Schizosaccharomyces pombe: one gene and its partners. Each later gene encodes a partner of the first gene's protein in a complex. Each region holds a gene or a part of one and is shown in the gene's direction. Other genes may lie near its edges. The genes, in order: ask1, dad5 and dad1.

Region 1 (3,985 bases):
TATACTGTTTATCGAGATGAACCAAATGTGGAAATAAATAGCCTACAATTTCTAGGTGATGCATGATAAAAAGCCAGTTTTGAGCTGTACGACTAGGTGCTGTGTTTAACAACTTAATAGTGTTTAGGTCATAAGTTGTTAATTCACGATCCACAGACAAAAACGTTTCAGCAGTTGAAGTTTGAACGCAAACAAGGTCAGGGAAACGTTGTACGCAGTGGAAACTAGATATTGGCATAACCAGCAACTTCGGATGACCGATTTTTGAAAAAATAACTTGCTTCTTCCAAAGGGCAAGGTTGGGGTCTAACTCTAAACTAGCAGAAAACTCCGCTAAGTACTTCCAGAGTAGATCTTGTTGTTGATGAGGAAATGAATCGAAATGATCTAGTTCACAAAGGAATTTGCATGGGTTGCTGAGAAGCTCGTTTGTATAATTAGTTTTTTCCTCTTCAGACCAAAAGAAATCAGCTTCCCTTGTCTTTGCTAAGGAGCTTAGCATGATATACCGCTGCTTATGTGCTTCTTTGGGTAAGATCAATGAAATAAGTTTTGTGCTGAAGTAGGATAATTCCCTAATGCTAATGGAATTTTGTTCTTCCTTTTCATTTTCATTTTCAGGATCGTTCAGTTGAATGAAAGATTGCCCAGTATGTTCACTGTCGAAACATAGTAGCAATCGGAGTAAACGTTCTTCTCTACAGCAACGAAAATCCCAACGTGACGAGACCCCTTTAAATTGAAGGACACTAAGTTCCTTTTCTGTATGTTCATAATTGCGTAATTGCAGGATATCGCTTTCATCAAACATAAAGCAATACTCCGCTCTTAACGTGTGTCCAATAACTAGGTTTTCATCATTAGCCAGCAACCCGTATTCATCCAAAATTTGCTTTCTTTCAAATTCATTACCCAGAGAATAGTATGGAGTTCCCAAATCAGTCATAAAGGTCAAGTTGTCATGAGGTTCCGTTCCTTCATTTTCCTCAATACTCTCTAAAGTCGGCACTTTCTTTTGACATTTACTCTTCTTGAACTCTAGAAGGTATTGAGAATATCCGGCGGGATCATCATTTTGTTCTTTTTCGGAAATTTCAACTGTTTCTACTTTTTGATTTGACAATTCTCCATTGTCAACATAAACAGATTCTGTTTCAACAGGATCACTATCAGGAGATAGGCGCTCTTTTCTATTTTCTTCATCGACTGATGAAATGGCTCGAAGGGCCAGAACACGCGGTCCATCTGGAAGACGTTTCTCATGTTTAACGACAAAGCCAGAGTTGGGAGATCCCATCAAAAACTTCCTAACAGAAATCAAAAATTTAGGATCATATCCATCAGTATTTGTTTCCAAGTCGGTTAATACCAAGTTGCTATTGACCTCCTCAGAGCTTCCAATAACCTTCAAAAGTGGAACATATGATGGAGAAGGCGCTAGTGTCTGTAATGAATCCTGCGAGTCATCATGCTCATTAGAAAATCCCAAGTCGGTTGCTTTAACCCCTAATTTATGAAAAATTTTCTTGGCAAGTGCTCCCATTTCTTGCTGTATATTTTCTAAAGATATTTTGCTTTTAGTTGAGTCAATCGTTTCTTTTTCAGAGACATTGTCAGAAAACTCCTGCTGGACTTCCTTTTCAATGTTAGTTTCATAGATGGGATGCATAGTCGTAGTATTATCAGGGTTCGTCAACTCCATATTTACTATACTATCTGAAACAATATTCTCTCCAAAGATACTACTCATTTTGGATCTTGAGGATGCTGGCAAAAGACAAGTTGAATGTTTGTTTACTATGGATCATTTGATCATTGCAGTCTGCATTTAGTCCACTGAGGAAAGTAAACAAAACTTTAAAATTCATATTTATTACTCAACAATGATTGTATTAGTATTATCTTGAACTTACAAAAATCTCACTGTATATTGCCAATTTAACTTGTTTACTTTACGAAACATCGCTAATAATGGACGCTAGTATACCTACACCTCAGTTGCAGTTCGCCATAAATTTCACCATTGAGAGTTTCTATACTAAGAAATAATATTTTCAAAGTTTTTATGAGTATTAGATGTCATTCTTATGAACAATTTGGAACAGTATGCAGTAAACTTGTCGCGACTGTAGATAAACATTCTCTAACAAAAGAATTAGATTAGAACGATTGGAACAATCGATTACTCTAGCACTTTACGAAATTGATGCAAATTTTTCTAAATGTCATCGAACAGTGACTACCAAAATCTTGCCTATCGTGGAAAAATACGCAAAAAATTGTAACACTATATGGGACTCTTCAAAAGTATGTTCAATGGCAACTGCCACTCATGATTCAGCTTGTAATTTGTATTATTTTAAGAATTAAGCTAACAGAAAACAGTTTTGGAAGCAGTTTTTTGAAGCAAGTGCCAATGTTTCACTTTCGGGTGTAGAGGAACCTGTTCCAGTAGAATCCAATCCAAGCGATCAAGATGTTATGTCTAATTCTACAGAGGCGGACCTACAGCTGCACACAAAGAATGAACATTTGGAAAAGAGGCATTCTTTTGTCGGAAAATCTGATTTTCCCGATGCAGCTGTACAAGGAGATAATACAAAAAACGAGGATTTTGTACAGTCCACTCCTAAGAAGATGGATGTCTCCTTAGAGGATATTTCGTTAGATGATGCAGCTTTGACCCCCATCCCGGCAAGGATGCAGACTCCGCTAAGAAAACCAGAAAATAATCCTCATACAGGTCGTAGTGCCCTTCTGCATCGCGTTTTAGATACAAATTGGCAAGTACAAGTGACTCCACGTGAGCCTAAGAATTTGCAATCTCAAGAAGTAATGGATATTGATTCTTCTCCTTTTGTATCGCCTTCTCCCATATCAATGAAAATGGACATGCCTTCACTTAACGATAGAAACTCTTCGCATGCTCTTTCTTTATTTGCAGAATTTGAGCATGAAAGCTATGATAGCATTAACCCAAGTGGAATGTCTCCACCTAAAACTATCCAATTCAGCCCGCATACCATGGGGGTGGGTTCTTCTCAGCAAGCCAACGAGCGAAGCCTGTCTTTGCAGAGGAAATTAGAAACCTTGAATGATTCTAATGATAGTTTTGTCAAAGAAGAAGATAGTTGGGAACTCTGATAAAGCACTGCTGAAGTTATCACCTTCGTTTCGCCTTTAGTAGTGAACCTTACTTTCGCATTTTTTCTATTTATTTTCTAAGCACATATGTCTACTTCATAAAATCCCACCTTATATTTATGTTATATAATTTTTTATTTACTGTACGTTCTATTTAATTTGGAAAATTCTTCTTTTAAGAGAATCATAAGTCACGGTATAAATACTGTAAACCAAGTAAAATTTGTATGAAAATAATTTTAAAATAAACTAAGAAAGCAAATAACTATAAAATTTTTAAATAAATTAGTATTATAGCCTAATTAATAAATCTTTTTACAGCATATCATTGAGAATATACGTTAAGACGAATAACGAGGTTTTAAAAATTCTAAAAAAGTCTAAAGAATTTTAGTGACTTGGTTAATAATAGTTTGCCTGGTTGAGCAGACAGGTGAACTTAGTATCCACCACTCTTTTTTGTGCAAGGAAAATGGGGTTTGACGTTGCAGGCTATTTACAATCATATTCATTGAAGGACTGGATTCGAATTATCGTATATGTTGGAGGATATATGTTAATCCGGCCATATTTGATGAAGTTGGGAGCCAAGATACAGGAGAGAGAACATAGAAAATCTTTATTAGAAGGCGAAGTAGATGGTACTTTAGATCCGGAAATGACGCATGGCACGAAGCCCAAAGAACATGGAGAATTTGACACGGATGATGAGGAAGAAGAAGAAAATCCTGATGCCGAATTCCGTTGGGGTTATTCAGCACGCCGCCGTATTCGCAAACAACGTGAAGAATACTTTAAGAATCAAGACAAATCTCCTCTTGATGCTTACGCTGATGATGAT
Region 2 (3,304 bases), on another chromosome or scaffold:
TTTAGTTATCAGAGCATCGCCGACGTATACCTTTTTTCCATTGATAAATTTGTGTTAGTCAGTGCAGTTGTTCAACACAATCGGTCCTCCGTTTATCGGTAGCTCTTTTTTGCACTTTGACAAAGCACAAAATTCGTTTACATGCAATCATCTATTACGGATGTAAATGTCCGTCATAATCAAAGGAATGCCAACAACGCCAAGTGAAAGCGAGATGAGTTGGGAAAATAGGATCGCAATTTGACATTCCTACGTCTTCCTACGTCTTTCTTGGAATGAAGTAATCAACTCTTCGTAAATTAGCAGGGACGAGGAAAATATGCGACTGTTATCATTTTTAGCGCAATAAGGATAAGAAATGAGTGATTTAGGAAATAAGCAACTGGGAGATATCCATTATCACTTCCATAAGCGATAATGATAAACCGCAGGAAAAACACGTGTGAGCATGAAAAAGGGTATATATACATAGACGGAAAGGGGCTTCATCTTTTCTTTTTCTTTTGTTAGGGGCGTGGTGAATGGAAGTATTTCTTTGTTTTATGGGGAAGCGTACAAAATTGTGAAACGAAACGATGTATGTGTATGGAGTGTAGGAGTCATTCATTTTCATGAAAGAAACTATAATAAAAATGGGGTATATGATTAGAAAGGGATGAGTGAATGTTTGAAAAAATTACTTATAAAATGGTAATGAATATGATTAGAAAAAGCGGTATGAGGAAGCATGGTTACTAAATGAACCAACTTGATTATATAAAAAAAAAGAAACAAATTAAAAACTAATTTTCATCTAACTCAGGAATTCCTCCTTTGAAAATAGCCAAACATTAACTAAAAAAATTAAAAAAAAAAAAAGTAGAAAAAAAATGTAAATATTACAAATACTTCCCAAACTCCCATAAAGCATTCTATGACGATTTCCTTACACCAAGCAATTTTCCTGTTGGATTTTATTTGTCTCGACTGGTTTGTGTATCCCTGTTTCCTTTCTTTTGTTTCCAAGAGAATCATTTCCAGGGAATTGATACATTTGTCCATGCTAAGATAAAATCCATTGTTCGGTCAACTCACTTCCGATATATCTGAAACGAAAAAACAAAACCTGATTAGAAAAGCTATATGTTTTCACATATAAGAAGACTATATGTCAAACCCCATCCTAGCGTCGATATGAAATGGAACTCTGTGAAATGATAGATGTGGGGGACCTAAAAGATAAACCCCAGTGTAGTGAAATCTCGATGCTTTTGAAACTGAATAAAACCCGAGGATATTAAGACAAGTAGTTTATTAAAAAAAAAGGTTTTCCGATCGTAGTTGAGTAAAGTTTGAAAATTCAAACAATAATTAAAACAACGGATGCACATCACGCTGCTGCGTCTTCTCTTGCACGGACATTGACTTCCGTATGTAATTTGTCTAACGATCGTGCTCTTTCCATTTCTTTTTTCCTTTAAAATACTCATTTGCCTATCTTCCTCATAAGATGCCTAGCATGTCGAGCTTACGGAGAATTTTTATTTCCTTTGATTTGGACAAAGCACCTCATCCAACATGATTGTGATCGGAGCTTTGGAGCACTTTTCATCAGTTCCGTCTTCATCCTCCTTCTACACTTCCATGGAAATTATGCAAAACTTGATAATTCCATCCTTACCAATAATTTTGCCTATTTCCACGGAACTGACCCGAAAAATTTAGCAAAAGGAACGATTTCGGTATTACTTATTAGCTTGGAAATTATGTCTCGCTAAACCATATAACGAAAGTTTGGTTTTTTATCAGTAAGCGAAAAATTTACCGTCCCCCTTTTCCTTCTTGTCAGCTACATAAAAGATAGGTGCGCTGCGCTGGTCGCCTTTTTCTGCCACTCTTTCCACGCTATTTTACGCTCTTATTCATTTTTGAGGAATACTAACGTCGGCCGGTATTGTTGGAAATCGCTGCAATTTGTTAAATTGAAATACCACTCAAGTGGGTAATGGTCTCCTTTAATTGTCGATACTGAAGGTTGATTGCATTTTAGTGCGGTGTCTTAAAAGCTGCACTCGCCCATCACACACGCGTTTGGTTTGTTTACCTTCCATCTACCTGTCTGCCTTCTTTCACTTTCACCTTACACCATGCGTCGTTCTACCATTGTGCCAACTAGTCGAACAAGCAGTTCATCTCCATCTCCCAGTCAAATGAAAAGCTTTCAAATGAATCGTTTGGTGGACCAACTGTCCAAGTTGCAATCCAACATGTCTCATTTGGAAAACCACTTACATGTTACCGCAATTCAAGCAGAAGCCATCCGACGTCTTGGTGCTCTTCAGGCCTCGCTTCTGATGGCGTCTGGTCGCGTTATGTCCGAAGCGAGGATTCAAAAGTCTTCAGATGCTGTGGAAGAAGACGTTCCTATGTGAGTCTCCAACTTTTTTGATGCAGACCTCAAATGACAATGATAAAAAGGAGAATACAAGAGACAAAGTGCCCCAATGAAGGAGAAATATAACAGGAAAGGAAGTAGGAATGTGCTCTTTCTTAATTAGATGGGGCTATTTCTTATTTTACTGCAACAATGCGGTATTTGGGGCTTCTTTCAATATGTGGGTGTTGGAGTTGTATCAACTATGCATCCGGAATACGGCTTTTCGGCATTTTACGCTATGGGAGTTTTGCGACTCTCGGGCTGCACTCCCGAAACCTATGTTACTGCATTGTACGATGCAGTTCTGTAAAAAATAGCAGGCTAAAAGAGGGTGTTCTAGTTCGTCTAATAAGTGATCTCGTTCATTGGTCAGCTCGGTCGGCTAAGTAACCAAGGGAAACTGCAAAAATTGGATACCAGAAATGATTGGTCAATTGCGCTTCACAAAACAGTCAGTGTACCAATCATATGGTTTTTATTTGAGATAGCGCACAATCATTGGATAGCTAGCTAAAAAAAGGTAAAAGTGGTTCCTTTCGTTAGGCTTCTTTATTTTCACCTTACGATTTACCGAAGAGAGCTTCTTCGACCTCGCTTAGATGGGTGTGAACAACGCCGTCCCTTTGCCAACCTCAACGAAAAAAGAAAAGCAGGTTGTACTAATTTTAAACGTTTCAAACGATTTTGTAAATTGATTTCTTTAAGCTTTGGCTCCTCCTTATTACATACCTAATCAATAAATATCTGTTTTCTTTTGCAGTTTCTTCTTTTTTTGCTCTCTTCCAGGGAAAACGGAAATTTGATTTGAGGAAGCCATAGCGCCACCATTCCCCAATCTGTCTACAAATTACTTTTTTTTGTTCCACCACACCTCTGGATTGTATTCTA
Region 3 (3,216 bases), on another chromosome or scaffold:
AAAATGTTACTGTGGGCCAGGCCTATTGTGAACTTCATAAAATACCTTACATAGAGGCAACTCCGCCACTTTTACGGGAAGAGCTTGTTAATTATCAATCTTAATTTTTCGTCTCCGGATAGAGTTTGTTCATGATTGCTTTTTTAATGAATAATATTGACAAGACTCGGATAGTTTTGTTAATCGTGTTTTACTTTACTACTAATCTATGGAATATTTTGAAAATAACATAATTTAATTTATACATTTCACGGCCTTAATCATCCTTTATTGGTTTATCATATTGAATAGTTGGTTTAGTAATAGAGGTACTAAAAGTCAAGCGTTAATTGTCCGAAGTATGCATTATAAATTCTAATTCCAAATGAGAATATTTCATAACCCATTCATTTGTATTAAACGTGACAGTAAATAAGAATTTATTTAGTCTTTATACATATGCCATCAATCTTCATAAAAACGTACTGGAGTTTAAATTTTAAAACGTGGTTATTACCCTTGCTTAAAAAACATTCTTTTTTTATTTAAGGAAATAAGTGTTGTGGCATTTAGTTTTCATATGCAATTAATAGGTTTTCAATCCCAAATTGCGTTGTCTACTAATTAAACGTCGTAACTACTTCTTTCTCGAATGGAATCGTAAATGAGTGAAGCACAATTAAAAACTTCCTTGGAGGCTTTAAGTCAAAATTTATTACCTGGAAACCAAAATCATTGCAGTTTCGACTTCCAATTGAAGGAAATTGACGATTCAATTAAACAGGTGATAAAATGTGCTCTAGTTGCTGCTGAGATAAAAAATAATGAGGTATGTGTACCATTATTACGAAAGATAATGGAAAAAATTAATATGAATTGCTTTTAAAACTCGAAAGTGGTGTTATGTCGAGATACAGTTTTTTAAAAAGAAGTTCGCTGTACAAATATACATACAAAAACATTGTTTAACTAATATTTTTCTTCCTCTTATTTCCGGCTATTGAGAGAGAGCCTAAAATAGACATAATATGACATGCTGCTTACTTTATGACTTCTGACTAACACTTGCCTTTTAGTGTTTGGACATGCTTGATAGCGGGATCCGAGAGCTGTTGGATGCAAAGCAGAGATTGTTATTGATGCAGCAATCGGTGGATACATTGGCTAACAAAACCAGTGAAAATATAAGTGATTTTGAAGTACGTACCACGGAAATGACTTTCCTACTTTTTCTATTATATGTAGATGAAGTAAAAACATCAATTTAGACGTATTTTTTTACTGTTTCATATTCAATTGTTCTAACAAAATTAGAATAAAAGTTTGTTGGATATTTATACACAAATTTTTAAGGAACTCATTCAAGAATACGAAGAAAAATCCGACTATGGTAAATATGGCACACAAGGAGAATACATTGAATTTAAAAAAACCATATGGCATGAGCAAAATACAGACGGTTCTGACTTTCCTTCTATGAAAACATTTTTTAATGTCATGAACACTGAAGAACAGGAAGCAGATGAAGTGATGGTATATTCAGCTACCTTTGATAACAGATGCCCTTTAACTTTACAACCAATTGTTCACCCAATATTATCGACAGCCTGTAATCATTTTTATGAAAAAGATGCTATTTTGTCTCTGTTAAATCCAACTTGTGTATGCCCTGTTGTAGGATGTGAAGCTCGTTTACAAAGGTCTTTACTTAAGGAAGATGAGATTCTTGAACGCAGATTACGCCGCGCTCAGGAAATAAGTAATTTAAAAGAAGCTTAGTCCTTTTCTATTTACATTGTAGTACTGATCCGGATTTATTATTATTATTATTATTATTATATTTAATGTATTTGTTTATTCCAACTTGTAAATATGCATAACATGTCTCTTTTGACTAATATTCTATGCTCGTACGGAAGCTTCAATTTTGGCATTTAATTATGAAGATAGTTAAATCTAATATAAGATCTACTTGATTGTAACCTTATGATAAACTTTGGCTCATGCTTGACTTTGACACTAGCCATTAACATACCATGTCCTCAGAAAATATGGATATTACTGAAAACATACAAAATGAGCAAAATAAAGATTTTGATGATATAGATTTTGAAAGAAGGCGTCGTCTTTTGACCTTACAAATTTCAAAAAGTATGAATGAAGTTGTGAATCTTATGTCAGCTCTAAATAAAAATCTTGAAAGCATTAACGGTGTTGGAAAGGAATTTGAAAATGTCGCGTCTCTTTGGAAGGAGTTTCAAAATTCAGTGTTACAGAAGAAAGATCGTGAAATGCTAGATGCACCTTGATGGTCGTTCTTTTCTAAATGTATTTTCATTGCCGCTAAACATATGCCTTAACGCAGTTTGTTTCAAAGAATTTGCATATTAAATTAAATTATTAGTTATTATATGTTTTTTATGAATCTATAAATTTAATAGCGTCCTCAAAAATTGGTCAAAGGTCAGGATTCTTTTAAATTAACTTACATATTACAATACACAAACCTTAAGTCACTTCATTAATAATGTGTTTGTATATATATATTAGTTTTTAATCTTCCTATATTCTTCTAAAAGCTGCCAATTTTTAAATAAGCCGTTCATCGTCTGAGAGGCAGAACAACTGTTGATGTTAATATTTGCATAGTAAACTTTTTCTTTACTACTATACGAATCCTTTTAGAAATTACCATTTTAATGGTATTATTTAAATTATAAAAGGGGTTTAATGCAGTTTAGCATAATAAAAAGGTAAAAGGAATCATAAGTATTCATTTCAATATCTTCTATATAACTATCGTTTTATTCACGACATGAATACCCTGAACCAGTCAGGGTTAAAAAACCGATTTTCAAAGTTTCGGACAAATATAGGCATATTTGAAGTAAAAGTAAAAAAAAACATTAAGACCAATTGATTTTTGCTGACATATATTCAGAATCAAACAGATAACGTCTTAATAAACAAATTATAAATCACAAAATAGCTCCAATAGTCGATAATCCATCTAAACCATATTGGCTAGTTAAATACCTGAAAAGATAAAAAGTTGAGATAGGAGCAAAATTCTGAAAAGGAAACTGCTACACAATATGCTTAGATTAAAAGAAAGCATACAAGCATAATGTCTCTATTGCAGCAAACGTTTGGAGTATTGGTTTATATGCAATTAGCAATGTTAGAATGCGTAAATAAAGCGTTTTTCTTGCTTCTTATGTTCCAACAATCTCATCA

What was found.
Region 2: ask1 (region 1) and dad5 share a complex: the UniProt entries of both Schizosaccharomyces pombe proteins name them as parts of the DASH complex.
Region 3: ask1 (region 1) and dad1 share a complex: the UniProt entries of both Schizosaccharomyces pombe proteins name them as parts of the DASH complex.

Annotation. Positions count from the first base shown.
Region 1 is NC_003423.3:1,561,667-1,565,651, reverse strand, and holds ask1 (DASH complex subunit Ask1), read left to right. Parts: upstream 1-2,000; 5' UTR 2,001-2,087; coding exon 2,088-2,104; intron 2,105-2,159; coding exon 2,160-2,307; intron 2,308-2,385; coding exon 2,386-3,144; 3' UTR 3,145-3,326; downstream 3,327-3,985. Other genes in the region: protein meu25, read right to left, coding at 1-1,750; protein trafficking protein Pga2, read left to right, coding at 3,617-3,985. UniProt on the Schizosaccharomyces pombe protein: Component of the DASH complex that connects microtubules with kinetochores and couples microtubule depolymerisation to chromosome movement; it is involved in retrieving kinetochores to the spindle poles before their re-orientation on the spindle in early mitosis and allows microtubule depolymerization to pull chromosomes apart and resist detachment during anaphase.
Region 2 is NC_003421.2:1,669,428-1,672,731, reverse strand, and holds dad5 (DASH complex subunit Dad5), read left to right. Parts: upstream 1-1,869; 5' UTR 1,870-2,126; coding exon 2,127-2,411; 3' UTR 2,412-2,788; downstream 2,789-3,304. Other genes in the region: SPOM_SPCC417.03 (uncharacterized protein), read right to left, coding at 368-489, 681-729. UniProt on the Schizosaccharomyces pombe protein: Component of the DASH complex that connects microtubules with kinetochores and couples microtubule depolymerisation to chromosome movement; it is involved in retrieving kinetochores to the spindle poles before their re-orientation on the spindle in early mitosis and allows microtubule depolymerization to pull chromosomes apart and resist detachment during anaphase.
Region 3 is NC_003424.3:3,088,125-3,091,340, reverse strand, and holds dad1 (DASH complex subunit Dad1), read left to right. Parts: upstream 1-2,000; 5' UTR 2,001-2,015; coding exon 2,016-2,288; 3' UTR 2,289-2,557; downstream 2,558-3,216. Other genes in the region: taz1 (telomere length regulator), read left to right, coding at 1-104; Smc5-6 complex non-SMC SUMO ligase subunit Nse2, read left to right, coding at 644-808, 1,056-1,178, 1,294-1,758. UniProt on the Schizosaccharomyces pombe protein: Component of the DASH complex that connects microtubules with kinetochores and couples microtubule depolymerisation to chromosome movement; it is involved in retrieving kinetochores to the spindle poles before their re-orientation on the spindle in early mitosis and allows microtubule depolymerization to pull chromosomes apart and resist detachment during anaphase.